Linked DNA regions of Caenorhabditis elegans. The protein of the gene in region 1 interacts with the protein of each later gene in a pairwise test. Each region holds a gene or a part of one and is shown in the gene's direction. Other genes may lie near its edges.

Region 1 (7,946 bases):
AACAAAGCAAGATAAATGACCGCTGAAACTTGTCGGCCCCTACCACTATTCCTCGTCCCTCGTGAGGAAAAAGTTGCAGTGTTTTTCGGTTAAAAACCTCGAATTTCCGAGATTTGTCGATTTTCTTCGGAAAAACTATGTACTTTAACAAATTTACAGGGATTTTTTTGGAAAATTTCTGGAATTTTCCAACTTTCTCGCAAAAAATTTAAAATTATCGATTTTTTGATAATTTATCTATCAAATCAAGTGGCAGAAAGGAGAAAAACAATAAAAAGGGCAGTCCGCACGTGCAGAATTGAAGAGAAAGAGGACCTCAGCCAGGGTGAGAGAGTGTAGAGGGTGTGGAGACGCAGACACTGAAAGAAGGGGGTTCAGAGATGTGGAGAGTGCAGAGATGTTGGTGTGATGAAGACTTGGCAGTGTGCCAAATGATATTTTTTATGGAATATGATGCAATTGTGCTCTGTTGATAATTTTTGGGGTGGCAGGATTCTTTTGGGGGAAATTATTGATTTTTTTTTTCTTTAAATTTGATTTTTCTATAAAAAAAATTGGATTTTCTATAAGAATTTAGATAAATAATAGTTTTCTTATATTTGCTTTAATGATTTTTCGGCACAAATAACAGATTTTTTCAAAAAAAAATTTTTTTTTACTTTTTGGGGATTTTTATCGGAAATTTGAAAAAAACTGAAACTTACGATTTTGATGCTTCTTGAAACTATTATTTTTCGAAACTTTTTTCAAAAAAATTCTGGAAATTATTGATTTTTGTCCTAAAAATTTTTAAAACCCCGAAATTCTATCGAAAAATAATTCAACATTTTTAGATTTTGCGTGAAAACTCTGTTAGAATATCGACTTTTCTGTCAATTTTCAATTTTTTTCCGCAAAAACTGCCAGAATTTCCTCAAATAGTTCATTTTCGATTGAATTTCCAAATTAATCCGAAAAATCGATAATTTTTTGATTTTTAACTGGATTTTTCGATAGAAACGTTAACTTTGCTGACTTTCTAAAATTTTTACAAAAAAAAACATTTTAAAAAACGTTGGAAAACACATAAAATTCGAGTTTTTCGGCTGGAAATTGGGGAAAACACAAAAAAAAACAAAATGTTCTACAGTAACCTTGAAACTGCGCGTCGGGTTAGATGCATTGATACGCAATTGCGTACAATGCATTTTACTTGCCGCGCACACTTTTTGGAATTATTTTCAGCAAAAATTGCAATTTTTCAAGTATTTCAGCGAAGAAATTGAAAAAAATAAGATAATTGCAAAAATACAAGCGGGTTTTAAAGTTTTCTTTTTAAAAATCTCAAGTTTCTCAATAAAAATATAGAAAACATGTTTTAAAACAGGAATAAGCGAAAAACTATTATAATTTATTGATTTTCGCCTCCAAATCACGCTAGAAAATCAAACTGATGATCATGACAGAAAGAAATGATCGTAAAAATTGCGCTGACGACGTCACGCGACCCGCAATAAGACACACGGAGGCTAAGCACAAAATATAATGTGTTTTTTTTTCATTTGAATCTTTTTTTCAGACTTCAAAGTACGGCGTGTTGATATTGATGATCAGAAGAAAAAATCAAAACAGAAGAAAAAACAAGGACAATATAATTAAGAAAGTTGTTTTTCAGAACTTTGATCTTTTAATCTGTGTTGAAAGGTTCCCTGAGTTGTTTTTGATTTAAAATCTTAAAAAGTAGAACTAGAAATTGTTATTTTTATCAAATTATCAACAATTTCCCATTCGAATTCTCCAGGTTTCCATCAATTATTATTTTCTCGTGATTAAATCCACGTTCCTTGGCGCACGAGAAACACGCCAGCTATCGTTTGCTGGCGCGTTTCTCGTGTTGACGCGTTTCTCGATCGTTCCAACTTGCAATTTTTAAATTCAATTTTTGCCGAAATTCACTCAATTTTTAGCGATTTTTTTCGAAATTTCTAGATTTTCAGCTGAAAAATGACCACGGTCCGCCAGAGAATCGATACACAACATCGTGACGCAATTGTAAGTCGGAAAATCTGAATTTTAGCTAAGAAAATCTATTTTTTTTTTTTAAATTCTGAAAAATTGCAGCACGACGCTCAGCTCAACATCTACGGAAGCCGACTCGCCACGTGTGGATCTGACCGTCTTGTGAAGATTTTTGAGGTCAGGAAAGGCGAAAAATCTTGGATTTTCTGCAAAAATCCCAGAATTTTCATAATTTCAACGCAAAAAAAAATATAAAAATATTACAGGTTCGCCCAAATGGCCAGTCATATCCGATGGCGGAGCTTGTCGGACACAGTGGTCCCGTTTGGAAAGTCTCATGGGCTCATCCGAAATATGGAGGACTTCTTGCCTCCGCTTCCTATGATAAGTACGGAATATTTGGAAAAAAAAACGGAAAAATGATCAAAATTTGCTAGATTCGATCAGAATTTCATAAAAATACGCTAAAATCTCTGTTTTTAATCGGTTTTCAGCTCATTTTTTGGGTTTTTTGCCAAAAATTGGTTAAACAGAGTGATTTTGGAAGAAAATGGACACAAATATTGAAAAATGCAGCCTATTTCTGAAATTTCAATGAGTTTGATCATTTTTCACCGATTTTACGCTATTTTCCCTTTAAATTCACGGATTATTTAAAGAAAAATCAGTATTTTCGGTCAATTTTCACAGTTTTTTTTTGAATTTCAAGCCTAATTTCCCTCAAATCCACCAAAATTTTAAAAACTTCAACGGGTTTTATGAAATTTTTACCGATTTTCTGCAATTTTTTCCCGAATTTTAGTCGATTTCTGCCCCGATTTTTGTAATTTTTATCGATTTTATTCAATTTTCATAGTTTTTTTTTCGGAATTTTGAGCCAATTTACCCCCCAATCCAACGTTTTTTTCTGGAATTTCCATGAATTTCAGTAGTTTTTCACGGGTTTTTTGCAATTTTTAGCTCATTTTGCTCTAATTTCAGGCATTTTTCATCAATTTTCACAGATTTTCAGCCAATTTTCCCCCAAATGAATCGATTTTCTTTCCAGAAAAGTGATAATCTGGAACGAACAACAAGGCCGCTGGCAAAAAGCCTACGAATGGGCCGCTCATGAGGCCAGTACGACTTGTGTGGCCTTTGCACCACACCAATATGGCCTAATGTTGGCTTCTGCCTCTGCTGACGGTGATATCGGTATTCTTCGATACGACAATTCGAGCAACGAATGGATTTCGTCGAAAATTCAGAAATGTCATGAACAAGGAGTTAATTCAGTGTGTTGGGCACCTGGAAGTGCTGATCCGGCGGCAAAAAAACGTCTTGTTTCAGCTGGAAATGATAAAAATGTCAAGATTTGGGCTTTGTGAGTAGAGAAAATGCACTGAAAATCGATTTTTTAGATTTTTTAGATTTTTTTTGACCCGAAAAACGTGAAATTTTGACGTTTTTTCGATGGAAAATACAAAAACCGCAATTTTCTCAGGTTCTCAAAAGTCAGATTTTTTGTAAGCCTAAGCCTAAGCTTAAGCCTACGCCTACGCCTAGGCCTAAGCCTCAAATTGCCAAAACTTCTCGGAAAAAAAGTCGTAAAATTTTACTTTTTTTTCAGCAAAATTGGCAGATTTTATGAAATTTTCCCAAAAAAGTTGTATTTTTGATCCAAAATTTGTTTAAAAATCACAAATTAGTGCAGTTCTTACCGGAAATTTTTGAAAAATTCAAATTTTTCCCTCAAAATTACCTGATTTTTTGCTAAAATCACAAGAATTTCTGAGATTTTTCCCCTGAAAAAGTCAGTTTTTCTGGGATGAAAAAATTCGCAAAATAAAAATTAAATTCGGATTTTTTTTAAGGCCTAAGCCTTAGCCTAAGCCTGAATTCCAGAATTAAAAAAAATTTCCTTCTGAAAAATCAATGAAAAAATTGTTTTTTTTTCTGAAATTCTCAAAATTTACAATGTTAAAGTTAAAAATTCGACCCAATAGCGTATTTTTTCACCGAAAATTCTCAAATTTCTTAAATTTTCACCTGAAAAATCCCATTATTTTGCCAGTGACGACGCGAAAAACGAGAAAAAATGGAAATTTTTCGCCAAAGTTCCAGATTTTTCTAGAGTTTCCTTTGAAAAATCCTTTTTTTTGACAATTTTTCCGTGAAATAACCCATTTTTTCACAGTTTTCCATCAAAAAAGACTAAAAATCCGACCATTTAATAAATTTCTTTCTAAAAAATTGTAAAAGTAAAAGCGAATTCTACCCGAATTTCAGATTATCGTGTTAAATTCAAAATTTCCAGGTTTTGGATATTTTTTAACAGATATTTGTCGAATTTCCTGGATTTTCCCCCTGAAACATCCAATTTTTCGGTTTTTTGATTAAAAAAAAACTGAAAAAATCACTCAAAAAATAATTTAAACTTGAAAATTTGTCCCAAAAGCTGTTTTTTTTGCAAAAAATTCTCAAATTCCAGATTTTTCGCAGTTTCATTTCAAAAAACCCCCAAAATCGGAAATTTTTATTAATCTTTTTTGCTGAAAAATCAGAAAAAAAGTATATTCTTTCGAAATTTTTGTCGAATTTCCTGAATTTCCTCTTGAAAAATCCATTTTTTGACAATTTTTCCGCGAAATTACCCATTTTTTTACAGTGACGACGCGCTACAAACAAAATTGTTGGTGAAAATTCGAAAAAAAAAAAAAAATTTCCCCATTATAATGCAGAAATTTGGGTTCGCTTTGGAAAATCCCAATTTTGAAGCTGCCCAAAAGCTGATTTCCCACTGAATTTTGTCGAATTTATTGGGGTTTCTCACTGCAACTTTTTCCTCACGAGGGACGAGGAAAAGTGGTTTCTAGGCCATGGCCGAGGGGCCGACAAGTTTCAGCGGCCATTTATCTTGCTTTGTTTTCCGCCTGTTTTCTTTTGTTTTTCATCGATTTTTTTCGTTTTTTCTTATTAAAACTGATAAATAAATATTTTTTGCAGATGCTAAAACGATTTCCAAGTAAAAAAAAAATGTATTCAGTGGGCAAGCAGCGGTGAAAGTGGGCAATGTAAAATGATGGATTACGGGAATACAAAACCTAAACTTTTTCTGAAACATGATACATATGATGCTTAGATGCTGAAATTACCTGATTTTCATAACGAGACCGTTAAAAAAGTTTTGAGGTTTTCAAAATTCAATTTTTTGTGCGAAAATCTCGACTTTTTTACCAAAAAAGTTGAATTGTGGAAACCTCAAAACTTTTTCAGCGGACTCGTTATGAAAATCAGGTAGTCTCAGCATTTAAGCAGCATATGTATCATGTTTCAGAAAAAGTTTAGGTTTTGTATTCCCGTAATCCATCATTTTACATTGCCCACTTTCACCGCTGCTTGCCCACTGGATACATAATTTTTTAACTTGGAAATTGTTTTAGCATCTGCAAAAAATATTTATTTATCAGTTTTAATAAGAAAAAACGGGAAAAAGCTGTGAAAAACAAAAGAAAACACGCGGAAAACAAAGCAAGATAAATGGCCGCTGAAACTTGTCGGCCCCTCGGCCATGGCCTAGAAACCACTTTTCCTCGTCCCTCGTGAGGAAAAAGTTGCAGTGTTATTGGGGTTTCCTAAGAAAAATTCATTTTCTTAATGACAATTTTCCTTCGAAATCACCAATATTTTTTCCTCCAGTGACGACGCTACAAACGAATGGATTCTCGAGAAAACCCTAGCCGGACACACAGATTTTGTACGTGAAGCCGCATGGTGCCCGGTAACAAATAATGGACAACATACAATTGTTAGCTGTGGAATGGAGGGAAATTTGGTACTTTTCCGTACTTCAAATATTGAAACTGAAGAGTGGAAGGCGAAATTATTGGAGACGGCTCCGTGTGCATTGTACCATTCATCATTTTCTCCGTGTGGATCATTCCTTTCAGTTGCTGGCGATGATAATGTGGTATGGAATCGAGGATTTTTGTGTGGAATAATGTGGAAATTGGCACCGAAATTGGGAAAATTATGGATTTTTTACGTCAAAAATGGCACAATTTTTGAAAAAAAAAAGTGTACAAAAACAGCGAAAATCATCGCTTCAAAAACGGAAAATTGTCACATTTTTAGCAAAAATCGCTGAAATTTTGGATTTTTTAGCTCAAAATTATGATTTTTCGAGCAAAACCTAGAAAATTCGAAAAAATTTGGAAAAAATAGCGAAAAAAAAAAGCATTTTGGCATTAAAAAAAACGGAAAAAAATCTTACCTACCTCTAGCCGCAGTAGGCATGAGGCAGGTGGCAGGTTTTTGTGAGGAAAATTTTGATTTTTTTTTTTTTTTTTTTTTTGGTTTTAATACAACTTCTATCTTTTTTGCCCGGTTTTTCGTAATTTTAGGAAGAATTTTTCAGAATTTTCGTTGAAATTCGATTTTTTCAGGTGATTTTGATCGAAAAATGCTAAAAATATTAATTTTCGAGCAAAACCTGGAAAATTCAAAATTTTGGAAAAAAAAATCTATTGAGAACTGGCAAAAAAGTGGGAAAACAAAAAATTTTTTTTACCGGAAAATTGGCCAAAATCACTTCAAAATCAATTTTTTTTACATAAAAACCGGCGAATTTCGGTTGAAAAGTATCGATTTTTGAGCAGCACATGAAAATTTCAATTTTTATGAAAAATTTGAGAAAAAGCTACCGAAAACTTGCAAAAAAAGCATTTTGGCACGAAAAATCTGAATAAATGGAAAAAAAATACTCAAAAATTCAGAATTTGCAGTAATTTTACTGAAAATGGCGAAAAATTCGAATTTTCCGATCAAATCACCGGAATTAATTGAATTTCAACGAAAATTCTGAAAAATTCGACCTAGAATTACGAAAAACCAGACGAAATGTTCCCGCCTGCCTAATGCCTACACGTGTGCCTACCGTGCCTACAGGTAGGTAGGCAAATCTTCTTAAAAAAGTGCCGTTTCTACAAAAAAAAGCATATGATAAGCTCTGTTTGCAGGCAGGCAGGCACCTACGCCTAAAAACGCTCATTTTCCAATTTTGCAGATCACAATTTGGCGCGAAAATCTTCAGGGACAATGGATCAAAGTGCCACGTGACAATAAGGAACGCGAGGGAATGAGCCAAGCGGTCGGAGCTCCGGGAGCTCAGAGATAAATAAATTATTTATTTTTTTTCGCTGTTTCTACACCCATAATTCCTCTTAAAACTTGTATATGTACCTGTTATTATTGATTTTTTTCCTCATTTACTTCTCCGAATCCAGATATTTTATGATTTTCCTTCTTTTTCTCTCTCAAAAAACTAATGCGAAACCGGGATGAAGTTTTATTTATTTATTGATTTTTTTCGACTAAATTCAGATTTTCTCTTATTTTTGAAAAATTGGTCGCAGTAGCGCAGTCGGTTACGGGCTGGGCTGGGACGCAGAAGACCGGGGTTCGACTCCGCGTGGTGGGAATTTTCTTTATCTTAGCGTGATTGATACTGTTAACAAGCTGAAACTGAGTATAACCTGCTGGAAACTAGTGAAACTTGAAAAAAATCAGTTTTTTTTCGGAAAAATGCGGAACAGTTTTTGAAAACATGATTTTTACAAATTTCCATGCACATGTTCAAATTTCTCGCACAATTTTCGTTTATTTGACACCAATATTGGCTCATTTCCGAGGATTTTTCGAAAAATTGGTTGCAGTAGCGCAGGCGGCAACGGGCTGGGCTGGGACGCAGAAGACCGGGGTTCGACCCCGCGTGCTGGGAATAATTTTTTTCTTGGTTGATACTATTATCTAGCGGAAGTTGACCGAAATTTGTTAGAAATTAGAAATAATCTCGAATAGTTTGGGTTTTGTGTCATTTTTTTGCGGAAAAATGTCCAAAAAGTAAATGAAAATGTGATTTTCATGAATTTTCATTCAAATTTTTGAATTTCTCGCTTAATTTTTAGATA
Region 2 (7,317 bases), on another chromosome or scaffold:
TTCATAATATTCATGTAAGATTTATTTTTTTAAACACAAGTTTAAAACTGAAAATAATTTCAGAACCACATTCGAATGATGACTTTGCGAGATTCATATGAAAATTCGGGTACACGAAAAGCTTCAGAACTTCAATTTTTCGAGAAATACCCAGAAAGTAACATTCTGAAGATTAGTGTGAACATGGTGTCTAAGCCATGGACAGTGCTTGTACCTAGATACAATCCCCCCTTCTATTGTAAGCCTGCGGAAGATTTTCCATCAGATGTGCAAAAGTATGTTGATATTGCCACGGAGCAAAATGTTGGAGAACTAAAACGAATTTGGAGAAGCCGTCAGGCAAATGATGTTACTAGTAGTAATGATAAATGTTGGAAGCTCTCAGCTGCCGGCTTCCCATTGAATCCGAATGGTCGAACTGGAATGGCTGGAAGAGGAAATCATCCGAGATTTGGTGCTAATCGACGTTGTTATTATGTCGTTTTGAGTGGTGGAGTTGAAGCGAAATGTCAAGTTCTAGTTGATAGTCAGAAGAATATTCCAAATGAATGGCATCTGGAGAACTCGTCGAAAGATGAACATCTGACATCTATTTTGAAGATGATTGGAATTTCAGATTCTGACGCTCATGTAAGTAACCAAAAAGATTACTTTTAAAAATTTGTGATGTATTTTCAGATGTTTTCAATGCGACGTTTGGATAGCTCAATTATCACTGCGGACAAAAGAATACCATCCAATGACACGAGTCCTGCTCATTTGGCTTCAGAAGTTGCAGAAAATGAAAACGATACAGACAACGCGTGGACGGAGCATGATGTTTGGGCTATTTCTCTCCGAGAACGACGTATAATAACCACAATTATCGGTTATTCGTGGCTTCCTACGAGTGCAATTCGTGGAACAGTGCTTCCATGGCAAGCAGATCTTGTTTTCCGAGCAAAGACAATATACGGGTTATAATGCTACAACTTTCATAAATTATGAATTCACTTAAATTGTTATTCGATGTTTGTTTTTTAAAGCTGATAGCTAAGAGATAATTTAATAAAGCTTGGAAGAATAAAAATAAAGCACTCACCAAAACACATATAATGAGAGGCCTAACAAAAAATGTAGGGGTACTGTAGCAGTTTTGAAACAAATTTTTCTAAATATTGTAGAGCGATTGTTGGTTAGGTTTGCGGAGTGTTGTGCAGTAAAACTGTAAGAACTGTCGCGAATGCGGAGAACCAAGAATACTTCTCCTTGTCGCCACTTTATTACTTAATATTATTTCCTTTAATTTAACACAATTATTATGTATATTCATTAATTAATTATCGTCATCTTCCTTGTTTTTCCCGTTATTTTTGGTCCGTTTAGGTGTGACACGGAGATAAAAGATACCTTAGCAAAATAAGTTCTTTTCGTGAAAAAACAAATCTTCGTATTTATTAAACAACTTTGTTTCTGTTAACAAATAAATAAATCCTTGCTTTCGATTTTACGATTTTGTGGCTACGGTACACAATGTTCACTCCGCAAGCACCGAAACTGACGACAGTTTTTCTATCAGTTATTTTTTTCATTCAACCTCGAACTTTTTTCGCGTTTATTCATTTCTCGCGTGAACTTTTTGTCTTATTTTATTTTTAAGCTTGGCTTCACGTGGCACCGCGCTTTTAACACATCCGTGCGGCGTTTTGAATTGAACTTTAAATTGGAAATTCCCAAAAACCCACGATTTTTATGGATTTCGAATGGAAAATGCGGCGATACAGGGTAAGATTTCCCAAAATTGTAATTTTAAATCTTAAGGCCATTAAGAAAACAAGTAAAAACCGAATTTATTTTACCATTTGGAAGAATAAAAAACAAAATTCATATCATTTTCCCATTCACTTTCACCTGTTCGTATCACTTCCAACAAAGGAAAACTGAACTATTCTTGTTTTCAATTTTCCCATTTTCCCATATTCCCCACAGCAGCCCTTTCCGTGCATTTTTGCGTCGCCGTGTTGGCACTAAAGTGACACGGTTGACCTCAATTTGCCCCTTCTTTTCTTTTCTTCCCTTGTCTTCTGCCTCTCTATATTTACCCAACAGACTTTAACATCTCGACACTTAACTTGTATATTCGCCTAATTTATTACAGATCGATTCTATGAAGTATGAACAACGAATGAATGCCGGAGGTATGATAAAATTCGATTTATCAACAATTTTTATCAATCACTATTCATTTTCAGCTTCTGGTTTCGATATGAGTGACTGGAATAATCCTTACAATGCTTCACCTCCGTCTTCTAGAGGAGGCGATGATGACGCTTCATCCGTTAACCATTCAAGGTCAGTGAATACAAGAATTTCACACGCCGATCGATATCTTTTCATCGCTTTTTTTTCAGGCCTCGACGCAGTCGGCTGGACAACGATATTCCACAACCAAGAAGACCCATTCTTATTCAACCAGCTCGCCCAGTATCTCAAAAGAGTAACCGGCAGGGTACTGGAATGAGTAATGGTTCAAGAGGCCTCAACTCAACTTTCAATGGATATGACCGTACTTATTCAAGGTTTAAAACAAGGGAGTTTCTTCTTCTAATTATGGAAATTTGCAGATATCACCAAAACTCTTCACGTGGCCCAAGCGAAGGTTTCTCTGGTGCTCCTTCAGCTCGAAATGCATCTGGATATGCGAGTGATTACGCGAATAGTCGTGCTGGTGTGGGATTGCTGCCGAACAACCACCGTGAGCCTGTGAGACCACGATCAACTGCTGCTGAAAGATATGCGAACGCATCTTCAATGAGAAATGGTTTTGTATATGATAGTGGAGAGTCTGATAAGACTTCAGAAGAGCTGGAAGAAGACGAAGAAGAGGAAGAAGTACGAAATTTTTATATGGAAGGACGAGCACAAGGCTCCAGGAGTGTAACAAATACCCTTGCCTCTGAAGTTTATAATAGCGAAAGTGAAAGCTATTACTACGGAGTTGTGAAACTTGGCTCTGCTATTGTTGATCATGTGTTCCGAACGATGCCTCCTCCGGAAAAATACTATAAGATGCCGCCAATCGACCGTGTCGCTTATGTATTCTACTGTGCCGTTAATAACAAACCTTACAACAATATTGATGAGTTTCACGTAATTTTTAATCGTGAATTCTACTCCTACCGCGGGTATGGTGATTCTAAAGATCTGGCACTTTTTAAGGTAAGATTACTGACAAAATTGAATTGCTTCATATTTTAAATTACAGGTTTGCAAGCGGATGCAAGAAGAATTCTCCCTGAAGCAACTGGAAGCCGACAGATTGGCGTACGAAAAAGCACGACAAGAAGCTGCAGAGAGCGAGAAACTGGATTTCAATCAGTGAGTATGGAACCAACGGTACAATGAGCAAAAATATTATTATAGGCATAAAATCGAGGAACGCGAAGAGCCAAAACTTAACATCTCGCAACCCGAAGAAGTGTTGAGCAACGGACCACTTCATTATCACTCCTGCCTTCAGTTTGCTACCATTGGTGTTGGAGGAAAATTGGTGATCATTAAACCAGCGGGAACCATCGATAGTATCACTGGACATGTTCTAAGTACATCCAGCGTTCATGTGGATGATCTGAAAACATTTCTTCATTTCGATGAACAATCTGGAAAAGTGATCGAATCAGTTCAGAACTTTAAAGGACCACTGATTGCTGGACAAACTCCAACTCATTCCGTTCGTCTCTACATCCAACGACAAATCGACGCTCTTCGCCAGATCAGAAATGCTGGTGACGTAAAGAAAAGTGAGGTGGTGGATGCTCTTCTCGTCTGGCAATTGCTCGAAATCATGGTTCAGCAACATGGAGTAAGAATTGTTTTAATTTGAGAACTTAGTAGGAATTTAACATTTTAAGAGAGTCACCGGACCCGATGTAGCAACACTGCTGACAAATGCCTCGGAAGAACTTGGTGAAAAAACTGGAATTTCAAGCAATGGGACATCCGAGTCTGGTTCGAAGTTCGAAGCAAAGGAGCGGTTCAATAAGTATCTTCTTGGTGGTCACATTAATGTAATTTTGTCTAATCTTGTTAATTAAATAATTATAATTTTTCAGGAAGCTGTTGAAAGTGCTATAACCGATGGACTCTATGCCGACGCAATGACATTGATCCGTAGACTGCATCCAAATGACGCTAAGAAAATTGAGGAAATCGAGGCACGATTTATGAATCTTCGTTCCATTGACGATCCATTCGCAACACTGGTTGCAGTTTCAAGTGATCAACCACCTCCGATTCTGACGAATTCGGCGTTCGATGATGACAACAATTGGAAACGACATGCGGCCATTGTTCTTGCGAATCTAAACTCGCAGACCGCTATGCAAACGGTACGGCAGGAGAAAAGCAAAACTAAAACTGTAAAATTTTTTTCAGATCTATCATCTCGGCTTGCTCCTAGCAAAAAGAGAACGAAACTGTGCTGCTGATTTCTGTCTCCTTGTTGTATGCATTCTGGCTGGTTATGATCCATTTATTCCAGTGGCTCACGACGGAGATGAAACTTCGAGAAAGCACATCGGCCTTGTGCATAGTGGATCTAACTTGTTGAATCGAGTTGATGGACTATCAGGAACCGCTGGGTAAGATTACTTAACACAATATGCATAACATAAAACATGCTTTTCAGATTCTCATTCACTGATCTTCATGCTACTGATATTTTTGATTATGCTCTCCGACTGGGAAATAACAATGTCGATTCACCACTAGCAAAATCGATTGATTATCAGTTAGCTCGTATTGAATACGCAAAGAAGCTGTCGTCTTTTGGTGGATTTGCTACGGATGCGTTCAGATATTGTACAGAAGTAGCAAGATCGTTGTGGATGTATGTCGCAGCTTTCGATAAAAATGCAATGTTTGATCTTTGCGATCTGGCTGAGAGTCTTCAATACATGGCTGCCGCAACTCCTGATGAAAGTGGTTGGATTACAACTATGAGAGGAATGCTAGGTGCAGCTCCAGTTCAAGAATCTCAACAACATGTTCCACAGCCACAACCAGTGGAAAACAAATCTATTTCGTCTGAAGCTAAAAAATGGCATGATGAGCATCAAGCGCCGCTGGAGATTGGATCACGTAACGATCAACAACATAACGATAAAACTGTCGAGAAACCAATTGCACCCGGACGTGCTTCTTTGCCTCCACCTACCCTGGTTACTGAATCGTCATCTGAATCGACATTTACAGATAAATCCGATTCTTCGGTTACTGTCGCTGCGTCAGCATCAAGAACTTCAACGTTGACCTCATCCACTTTACCACCACCACCATCCCTTCCAAAAACTATCGAAAAACCAATCTCAACACCACCACCAATTTCTAAAAATGTTGTTCCTGAGATGACGCCTCCAGCGATTGTGAAGCCACCGATGCCAACGTTATCGATGCCTATTCCACCTGTCAGTACTCCAATCATGGTATCACCTCAACCTATTCCTATTCCGAAACCTGTTGACGCCAGCATTGCAAAAAGTCCTCGTTCGGAACTGGATGATTTATGGGACACTTCACCGCCAAGCAATCAAACTTCATATCCACCTGCACCGCGAAATATTCAACCATCTTATTCGCCTGCACCTAACTTTGCAAACCCAACAGCTCCAAGTGTACCAACACCACCACCAGCCGTTTCTTCTGCTCCGGTTCTTCAACAAGCAACACTAGGACAAGCATCTATTCCAAATGCTAAAACTGTGAGTTTTCTGTGAAACCTTCAGAATGACAAGTAATTATTTTTAATTATTAAAGACTGCGCCGCCTGTCCCACAGAAACAACCTGAACTTGCATTGAATGAACGAAAAGCATCTAAAGGATGGTTCGGATCGATTAAGGAAAAAGTCATCAAATCGATTCCATCAGCAAACCAAATGATCCTGCCTGACGATTCAAAGCCAAGTGTATGTTAATTTGAAAGCCGATTTTTTGAATATCAAATATTCATTTGTTCAGATCGTTTGGGATCCTGTTCAGAAAAGATATGTTGGTGCTGGAGTAGAAGAAGAGGTCGTAGCTGCTCCACCGCCAGTCATGTCAGCTCCTCATTTGATGGGTGGAGGTCCTGATTCTAACAAATCGAGCACGAATAGTCTGCGAAGTGCTAGAAGTGGAGTTGGATCACGATATCTTCAATCGGGAATGGCCACTAGCCAAGCACCAGCTATGGACACTGGAATGCCACCGATGATGCCTCCAACCATGCCAATGTCATTCAGCTTTATGCCTGCACCCACTGAAGGTATAATTAATTGAGAATTAGTTTTTTCTTCAATTAATTTCATTTTCAGATGATTCCTCCGAATATGTTGATCCATTCAGCGGTGAACCAACGGCTCCTTCCGAATCATTATCCAAACAGAATAACGATTAATATGCTTCAATTCTTCCAAATTATATGTGTTGTCGTCCCCATCGCCTTTTGTATCCCCCTCCCACCCACTATCATTCTTTCAAATAACCATTTCCTGTTATCTGGTCAGGCCCGTTTCCTCTAAAAACTTCTGTGATTATTCCATAGTATCTTCCTTCTTTTTTGTTGTGCAACTATATATGTTACGGTTTTATCTGAAAAATAAGTAGGCTAGTTTTTCTTTGTTCTGACGAGAAAATATGTGCTCTGAATTGATTCTCTGGTAAATAAATATATACTGAAATGAATAAATATAATGTACCGTGAAATCACTATTTGAATTTTACATTTGAAATCGAATTAAAAACAAAACAAAAAACTAATCGAATACCATTATTTCGCAAATTCGAAAATGTATCAACTGGACGTGAGTTTTCTCTTAATATTTCTGATTGATGTTCGAATATTTAAAGTCTTGGTACTCAGTGCTCTTCGAGCTTCTTCTCGTCGGTTTTTCTCTCTACAACTCGCTCAGAATGACTACTTGGTGGGATACCGTAGCCAGTAGGTCACAATTATTTTCAGGCAGTTTCCAGAAAAAAGATTTTCAGAAGGAGCATCTATCGCAGTGAATGGAGCAGCGAAACATTCACCTTCGGTCGCTGATCACTACGGTATTCGTACTGATAAAAATAGTGTTAGAAGCTATAGAAAGAGTAGCGTCGTGAGTTTTATTGAGACTAATTGAATAAATGTGTATATTTCCAAAATTTCAGAGATCACCAATTACGTTCGAAATGGGAGATGGGATTGAAGTAGCTCACTGATGGATCGTAATTTATTGGAAAAATGACGTTCAGAATAAATTTGATATTGATTAATTTTTGTCCACATTCTAGTAGGCCAGGCAGGCGAGGCGTGCGAG

The links.
Region 2: the proteins of npp-20 (region 1) and sec-16A.1 interact in a two-hybrid assay, tested with the Caenorhabditis elegans proteins (2 studies listed by BioGRID).

What each region holds. Positions count from the first base shown.
Region 1 is NC_003282.8:1,490,045-1,497,990, reverse strand, and holds npp-20 (Protein SEC13 homolog), read left to right. Parts: upstream 1-1,968; 5' UTR 1,969-1,983; coding exon 1,984-2,031; intron 2,032-2,100; coding exon 2,101-2,175; intron 2,176-2,264; coding exon 2,265-2,386; intron 2,387-3,046; coding exon 3,047-3,361; intron 3,362-5,676; coding exon 5,677-5,947; intron 5,948-7,042; coding exon 7,043-7,153; 3' UTR 7,154-7,338; downstream 7,339-7,946.
Region 2 is NC_003281.10:9,124,090-9,131,406, forward strand, and holds sec-16A.1 (Protein transport protein sec-16A.1), read left to right. Parts: upstream 1-1,749; coding exon 1,750-1,764; intron 1,765-2,137; coding exon 2,138-2,177; intron 2,178-2,231; coding exon 2,232-2,331; intron 2,332-2,390; coding exon 2,391-2,558; intron 2,559-2,603; coding exon 2,604-3,198; intron 3,199-3,244; coding exon 3,245-3,357; intron 3,358-3,402; coding exon 3,403-3,841; intron 3,842-3,890; coding exon 3,891-4,046; intron 4,047-4,091; coding exon 4,092-4,367; intron 4,368-4,413; coding exon 4,414-4,619; intron 4,620-4,666; coding exon 4,667-5,738; intron 5,739-5,793; coding exon 5,794-5,943; intron 5,944-5,995; coding exon 5,996-6,281; intron 6,282-6,330; coding exon 6,331-6,413; 3' UTR 6,414-6,718; downstream 6,719-7,317. Other genes in the region: Protein ced-11, read left to right, coding at 1-14, 64-630, 679-963; ZK512.10 (DUF4752 family protein), read left to right, coding at 6,805-6,819, 6,866-6,956, 7,004-7,116, 7,169-7,219. UniProt on the Caenorhabditis elegans protein: Plays a role in the organization of the endoplasmic reticulum exit sites (ERES), also known as transitional endoplasmic reticulum (tER).